Linked DNA regions of Saccharomyces cerevisiae S288C. Changing the gene in region 1 together with any one later gene gives a genetic interaction. Each region holds a gene or a part of one and is shown on either strand. Other genes may lie near its edges.

What was found.
Region 2: mutations in QNS1 (region 1) and PHO5 are lethal when combined (synthetic lethality), as found in Saccharomyces cerevisiae (one study listed by BioGRID).

What each region holds. Positions count from the first base shown.
Region 1 is NC_001140.6:244,430-248,931, reverse strand, and holds QNS1 (glutamine-dependent NAD(+) synthetase), read right to left. Parts: upstream 2,740-4,502; coding exon 595-2,739; downstream 1-594. Other genes in the region: PPE1 (phosphoprotein phosphatase methylesterase 1), read left to right, coding at 1-493; oxysterol-binding protein related protein OSH3, read right to left, coding at 3,360-4,502.
Region 2 is NC_001134.8:428,721-432,872, forward strand, and holds PHO5 (acid phosphatase PHO5), read right to left. Parts: upstream 2,232-4,152; coding exon 828-2,231; downstream 1-827. Other genes in the region: acid phosphatase PHO3, read right to left, coding at 1-381; PBY1 (putative tubulin tyrosine ligase), read left to right, coding at 3,316-4,152. UniProt on the Saccharomyces cerevisiae protein: Partially mediates extracellular nucleotide derived phosphate hydrolysis along with NPP1 and NPP2.

The DNA.
Region 1 (4,502 bases):
GGCTGCCATTATGGCCTTAAATAAAGTTGAACATTTTTTGCAGAATACACCCAATGTATTTGAATCAATTAATGACGCTGTCGATTGGCACGTTCAACACGCGTTATCGAGATTGAGGTCAAGCGCCGAAATTGCTATACCAGCTTTATTTGCTCCGCTCAAGTCAGGGAAAGTTGTCAGGATAACAAACCTTAAGACCTTTAGCCCTTTCTGGGACACATGGTTTACCGATCTGTCGCACTCCTTTGTTGGCTTACCTGTTAGTAAATTATTAATATTGGCGGGAAACGAAAATCTCGATAAAGAATTAATTGTGGGGCAAATGCAAGGTAAATATCAGTTGGTAGTTTTCCAAGATTCCGGGCATTTCATTCAAGAAGATTCGCCTATAAAAACAGCAATCACTTTAATTGATTTCTGGAAGCGGAACGATTCTAGGAATGTAGTAATCAAGACTAATTGGGGTCAACACAAAACCGTGCAAAATACATAAGGGTTAAATATCACTTTTATATCTTTATTTATGATAGAATAAATAACAGAATATATGAACTCGTGGAAAAGTCTTATTTTGCTGTGAGCACTTCTTCTGTGCTAATCAATAGACATAATGTCAAGCGTTGAGCCTTTATGTGCTTCACACTGCTCGACAACTTCATCAATTTTTCTTGAAGCCCATGGAAATCTTGGGTTGATTAAGAAAGGACGTAAGTCAAATCTGTTGTCTTCTGGTGAATACTGTTCAGCATGATAACTAGGAGTTAAAACAGTTTGCTTGTGTCTGTTGATGGCATAGAAGAAGAAAAATCTTTTCACCTTTTCAGATATTTGACGAGGTGTTAACTTTGGGGACCATTGATGAAGAAGTTTTAAGAACATAGAATAAGGACCACATTTTTCAACCTTTCTTAGGTAACCAAACACGCCCAATTCTTCATACGTCATCCCCATATCTATCTCATCCGATTGAACGTAATCTTTAGTCATAGGTTCTAATTCTGCAGTTGGTGTAGCGTTTAAAAAGTCATTCAAGATTGGCATGTTATATTGTTTTGATGCGTAGGCAATGAATCTTTTCAAGTCAGTTTTTGAAATACCCCCAATAGGGTTGATATCTGCGGAGGAGCAGTCATATTTTGTTAGATACCCACGTAAGCACTCATCAACATTTGCGCTACCAAGTACTAACAATCCACCCGAGTTTGGGATACCACGAACCCACGGCAACAGTTGCGCAAAAAGATAAGAAAGAACCATTCTTAGACGCGCCTGGATGTTTTGTAAAGCCAAGTTCTCGATTTGAGATCCCCCAAATATTTTGTATATTGGTTTTTTGCCAGTGGCTACTTCGAATAAGGACACCACACTGGATACCAATGAGTCCATCTTTAAATCCACGTGGTAAGATCCAATTGCATTGGAAAGGTCCTTTGCTCTGTTTCTTGTCTCCTTGGATGAATTTTCCGTACCCATGAAACAGGAGTGAAATATTTTTGAGGCTAGATCCTGTGGACTGTCTGGAATCCAATCATCGCCGCTACGTGTTATCTTACGAACGTCTTTGATAACTTGCTCATTTCCATTTTGAGCAGCGTCGGTCACTAAACGGCACATAGAGTGGACAATCATTGCAGTTGCACAAGAGTCAATGCCCCCAGATAAGGGAAGGAAAAACCCTGTTCCGTTACAACGTCTTAAATAATCCCACATCCAGCAAGCAGGTCCCAGTGCAATTTCTTCCTCAGGAGAGTGATAGAAAGGCTCGCGGACTTTTGTTGGACACACTGTAGGATCAAATCTGGAGGTCATTAAAGCCAATTCTACAGGAATATCAATACGCTTGAACTTTATTTCTGCCAAGGAGGCTTGTAGGCCACGAGACATGACAGCTGCACGATAACTCCTCACCTCTTCTAGGTCCACAGTAGCAGTAACTACTTCCACATCATCTAGCGAAAATTGTGAACCTTGGGCTACAATTGTACCATTGATGGCAATTAGTGCACAGCCATCATAATATAATCTGTCACCATCACAACCTCTTTGATTTGCATACAAGTAAACACCACCACAACGTTTAGTGGCATTTAAAATTAGGTCTAACCTTTTATTTAACTTACGCAGTTCATGATGAGAACCAGATGAGTTTGTCATGATTTCCACACCATCTAAAGACATGGCGATGTGGGGGGATTGAGGTGTAAACAATTCTTCACAAGTTTCTGTACCAATGCATGTATCCAATGAATTTATCACAGCGTCCCCAAATGGCACAAGTCTCTGGCCGGTAACTTTCTGAATCTCAGGTGGAAGGATAAAGTCCTCCACCACGCCAGGTTTCATCCAAGGTGTGAAAAATCTCATTTCCCTATAGTTACCATCATTAGCTAACCAAATCTTAGGTCTTATGAACAATATCTCACCATCCAAGGATAACAAACGACAATTATAACGAACATTCTTGTGTAGAACGGGCATACCAATGTCAAGTATTAATCCATGGGTTTCTTTATTCTTAATGATTTGAGCATACATTTCCCATGAATGAAGGCAAACGTCATTTTCTAAAAAATGATCTAAACATCCGTAGCCAGTTATTTCCAGTTCTGGGCCGACACGTAACCTGGCACCCCTCTCTTTGGCAATCTTAATGGACTGTAGGATACGGTCTCTATTACCTTCAAAATCTAGGGCCCATTGATTCAAGTTGCATGTAGCTAAAGTGATAAGATGTGACATTACTGGCAGGGAGTCAAAAAAAGAATGCCAGGGTATTTGGGGGTATTTTTACAAGCAATATCAATTGATGATGTGAGCATATAGTCTATTTTGAGGTAACCAGTTGATAATCTTATATTTCCCTTCCATATTCCTCTTTATCTTTTTCGACGAAACTATTGGGGCCTCTTGATATGACTTAGCAGGACATATAAAGGATAAGATGTTCCAAGCTATGTTATCTTTGACAAGTTTTGATAGCAATAGACTTTCAATTCCAAATTTAGGCACCTTTTGTAAGATCCTGTGTTCGTAAACTTTTCTTCAAAAAACATGGATCTAACTGACTGAAAGAGTTCATTATCTTTCAATTATGTGATGAAATTCTATTGTTTTTTTCAAGTTTTGCAACTAATCATAAAATAGAATGTTTTTACAGTCAAGCAAACAAAAATAGTGTAGAACTGTTAATATAAAATTAGTGTGAAAGATTGATCAAGAATTTATAAAGTCCTTCATGTTGTATATAGTATACTATACATGAACGCATATACAAGTAATTTGTGTGGATGATCATTAAAGATGGAAAATAAATAGAGTACAAAGGGGGGAAAAAAGTTCACTTGATGTCATCAAGGCATTCACCAGAGTTGAGAAATATCAGACCAATCATGCTTCTTTCTTCTTTCCCAATAACTCTTCGGTCCAGTTATGTATTTCCATTCATTCTTAGATACTTTTTCGAAATATTTAGGCTCCACATCTTGCCCTTTATTACGTCTTTCACGTTGAAGTTGTTCCAATTTCAGCTTCCACTCTTCCGCCTTATCAACATTTCCCTCCTCGTAAGCTCTAATATCTGGTCTTAATCTTGAGTCCGTAGGTGGTAAATTGCCCTTTTCAATTTCAGTTATCTCATTCAAATTTGCGGTGAATTTAGTAAAGCCATATTTCTTCTTCGGATTGCTAACTAAATCACCTACTTCCCATATAGTTTCATGTGTAGTTTCATTAGCTAAACTCTGTGTCCATTTACCAGCTAGAGTTTCCTTCTTGCGATTGCTCGAAGGTGGTGGGATTATCGAAACCTTAAATCCTTCAGATCTTCCACTAAACATACCTGCCTTATCGAACAGGATGTGTGATTTGTCTCCCTTCGAAGAATGTACTTCGAATTCGTTGACAGGCTCCATATATCTCTCACCCGCTATCAAATTTTTTAAAATAGTTGTTGGTTGCGTCCATTCAAATAGTTCTCCAGTTGTCTTAAACTTCAATCTCAGTATACCTTCGTTATTCAATTCAATAGACTTACCCCAAAACTTTTGCGATGGCGTTACAGTGTAACTACACTCCCAGTCGAGATGCTCTGCAAAGAAGGCAAATACTGGAGGACGATGTGAGACCTTTTCCGATATAAGCCTAAACCCCATATCTTCTCGTATAAGTTCAAATGTTTCAGCCAGTAAAGGATTAAAAGGCTTTCTTAGCGTTCTTGTTTTATCCCTATATATGGAAAGAAAGGAAATAGCAAATGCAGAAACAAAGGTTATAGGATCAGGACGTTGGGTAGCCTTCGTTAAAAGTGGAGCATACTCAAATGTTTCTGATATCAACTGCAAAATAGAAATAGGCTCATTTGAGGTTACTGGCATGGCAATAGAGCTCAGATCTTTGCCTACATTCTTTCTCAAAAAAGATAATAGGCTTGGCGGAGAAGCTGCAGCTTCAGGTATGTCATTACGGCGTGTAACACTCTTTGGATAGGAAAGAGCAAACAAATC
Region 2 (4,152 bases), on another chromosome or scaffold:
GGTTTCCATTTCCAAATCATCGTCATCACGGATGAAAAACTCGTAATCATCGTTCAAGAATGACAATGAGCCGTTGAATTGACGTGTGTAATTGCTCAACTTATACCATGTTTTCATGATGGTAGCACCTTTACTGTAAGTTGGGTATCTTTCACCATGTCTGGCAAGCATTTGCAATTGTTTCATTTCACAACCTTCAGGCAAGTCACGAGAAATACCATAGTCGCCAGGGAAAGAGAAGTATGGCCCGGCACCACCCAGGAATGGGAATATGTCTTCCTGAGTGCCAATTTTGGCAACATCGGCTAACTCTCCGAGGGGAATTGTACCTGCATTAACTAAAGCAGCGGCTAGAACCGAATAAACAACAGACTTAAACATAGGTAATTTGGAATGGCCCTTTCTTTACTGTAGTATTTTTTTTATGATAATCAAGGCATAATTGACTTCCATCCAGCAAATTTAAGCACTTATATATGTTGCATAGGACTACTCAAAGCTGTTTACTATTTCCCAAACTGGTATTATTTAGTAAATTTCTTTTGAATTTTTTTTTTTTCACTCTTCCTTTTTTTCATTTTTGCGATGCCAGTTCTTTGAGTTTCCCTTATACGGCATATGCACTTAAGGTTTGATTTTGCTAATTAAAGGCGTGCCTAAGCGGCGACTAATACTGTAATATAATATGGGTTCCTGACTGACTACAGGGATTGAAACATCCATTTACCTGTTTCGGATATCTCTGCAGATTTTAATCTTTCGGCAAAATTTAGATAAAAAATTTGGGTATTCGTATTTAGTTTCCAATATTATTTAGTTATACAAAACTATTGTCTCAATAGACTGGCGTTGTAATGAGTAGTGTTCCAGTCCCAGTAGAAGGTCAATTCAGTAGAGTTACTGACGCTGCTGACGTTACAGACCTTTAGGAAGTCAGTACCGGCTACTCTCTTTTCAGCATAGTCGTAGAAGTCATTGATTTCACAAGAGAACCCTGGACCAGTGGAACAGGTTTCAATTGGAACAACAGCATCGTTAATGACGTATCTGACGTAGGTGTCGTTAGAACATTGGAATTTTTCGGTGTAGACACGAGCACCTTGAGGAACGTACCAGGATCTGTGGAAAGTGTTGCCCATGAATGGAACGTATTCGGCAGTTAAGTTGTTTTTGTCGTCAATTATACCAGCGGTGGTCAAAAAGTTTAGGATATCGGTATCGTGGGTAAAACTCAACCAAACCTTTTGGTCTTGAATCTCACTTTGCTTTAATAATTTGACTGAGGCATTGAACAAGTTGGAACCGACAGACTTGATAATGTCGTAACCTGGACCCTCATGGTAATAAGTGTGCAAGTCTTGGTAGTAGGAGTAATGGACTAATTCATCCTTGGTGAAAATATCACAGACATCACTGTAACCTTTAGCGTTCACTTCAAATGCACACCACGAGAATAAAGTACTAGCGTCAGTTGAGGTCAAGTTCAAACCCTTGTTTTCCTTGTTCAATCTCTTGGCAATGTCATCCAAGTAGGTTGTGTCGTATTCATTTACAATGTCATCATTGGCATCGTAGTCCCAAGCAGGACATGAGTTACAAGCACTCAAAGTGTTGGCACCAGCGGATTCAGCTTCACTGACAGTCTGCAAGGTGATGTTGAATTGGTCACCTAAACCATCAATGAAATATTGAGCAGTGTCATGACATCTCTTAGAATTAGAGGTAAAAACGGCGAAACTGGTTTGGTTTTCGACCATGTAACCGTATTGAGCCAAGAAGTCACGAGCATGTCTCTTGGCGTTCATTTCACCAGTGTATGGGTTCAAAACATCGTCCGAGTTGGCAAAAGTGGTTTCCATTTCCAAATCATCGTCATCACGGATGAAAAACTCGTAATCATCGTTCAAGAATGACAATGAGCCGTTGAATTGACGAGTGTAATTGCTCAACTTATACCATGTACTCTTGATAGTCTTAGCCAGACTGACAGTAGGGTATCTTTCACCATGTCTACCAACCATTTGCAGTTGCTTCATTTCACAACCTTCAGGCAAATCACGAGAAATACCATAGTCGCCAGGGAAAGAGTAGTATGGTCCGGCACCACCCAAAAATGGGAAGATATCTTTTTGGGTACCAATCTTGTCGACATCGGCTAGTTTGCCTAAGGGAATGGTACCTGCATTGGCCAAAGAAGCGGCTAAAATTGAATAAACAACAGATTTAAACATTGGTAATCTCGAATTTGCTTGCTCTATTTGTTGTTGTTCTTATTCTCATGAGAGATGAAGCCATACTAACCTCGACTTAGCAAAACATCAGCGCTTATATACGTTTCATTTCGACAATTCAAAGATGTTTACCCTTATCCCAAATGGGTATATGCCTTGCCAAGTAAGGTGACCAATTTGATAATTTGGCATGTGCGATCTCTTCGAAAACAGGGACCAGAATCATAAATTTAGTCTGTGCTAGTCCCACGTGTGAGTGCCAAGGTTGTATCGATTCATTTAGAGATTGCCTATTCAATTAACTCTTTTAATCACTTTTACTTTTTTTGGCATTGTGCAGTTGCGTTCTATGCGAAAACGTGCTAATTTAATATATATTTCTTTGTGCAGACAAAGAAAAAGCGCTATGAACCTTTTACCTTCGTTTGAAGTTTATAGACGACGTCCGCTTACATGAGAAAACATTAAAGCAGCGCACATAAGATGACTTCCAAATACGTTGACATATTTGCGCATTCTTGTTGAATACAACTTTCGGATCCTTGTAATGCCGGTCTCCGGCGTCCTGTAAAGAGAGCGTGCGACACGCCGCTATTAGCGTGGGGACTGACATCAGGTCAACATTATTATTGTAGCGAGCTACTTTCGGTCAGTAAATAGAACATATGTAGAGATACAAGCGATTATTAGAAGGAGCGGACCTACAACAAAGTTGGGTCACGTTTCTCGCAATTATTACTTGGATGCCCTCCTAGCTAATGCCAATGTGCAGTAGTAACTTATCAGTCCGATGTGTAAAAAATAGAACTAATTTTTTGCGAAAAGATGGACAAAAACCATCTCTGGTCAATTTTCTCACTAAAGAGGGACGGAGTCTCTTGTTTTCTTCTATTAGTGCACAGGGAATGTTTTGATTTTCCCTTTTTTTTTCTTTCGCTTCTTCAACAGTGGTAAAAATAAAAATTATTGGCGATGGGATAACCAAGGAACATTGTATTTAGCAATTGAAAATTACGGTAAAGGCAGCCGCTCTGACTTGATCTCTGACATTAAAAATTCGGAAACAATAAATATTTCTTTTAAGATGCGGGTTTTAATAACTAACGATGATGGTCCCTTAAGTGATCAGTTTTCACCATACATTAGACCTTTTATTCAGCACATTAAAAGAAATTATCCTGAATGGAAAATCACGGTTTGTGTACCTCATGTCCAGAAATCATGGGTGGGTAAGGCTCATCTTGCTGGTAAAAATTTGACAGCTCAATTCATATATTCTAAAGTTGACGCTGAAGACAATACTTTTTGGGGCCCATTTATCCAGCCACAAATTAGGTCAGAAAACTCTAAATTACCTTATGTTCTCAATGCTGAAATTCCGAAAGATACAATTGAGTGGATATTAATCGATGGAACTCCAGCATCGTGCGCAAACATCGGGCTGCACCTATTGTCTAATGAACCGTTTGATCTAGTACTGTCGGGTCCAAATGTTGGTAGAAATACATCTGCTGCTTATATTACCTCTTCTGGTACCGTAGGAGGCGCAATGGAATCTGTTATTACTGGAAATACAAAGGCCATTGCTATTTCTTGGGCCTATTTTAATGGATTGAAAAACGTCTCCCCACTTTTAATGGAGAAGGCCTCTAAGAGATCTTTAGATGTTATCAAACATCTTGTTAAGAATTGGGACCCAAAAACAGATCTATATAGTATCAATATTCCTTTAGTGGAGAGTTTAAGTGATGATACAAAGGTTTACTATGCACCAATTTGGGAAAATAGATGGATTCCAATATTCAACGGCCCTCACATTAACCTAGAGAATAGCTTTGCTGAGATCGAAGACGGTAATGAATCATCATCGATTTCCTTTAATTGGGCTCCAAAATTTGGGGCACATAAGGATTCTATTCAC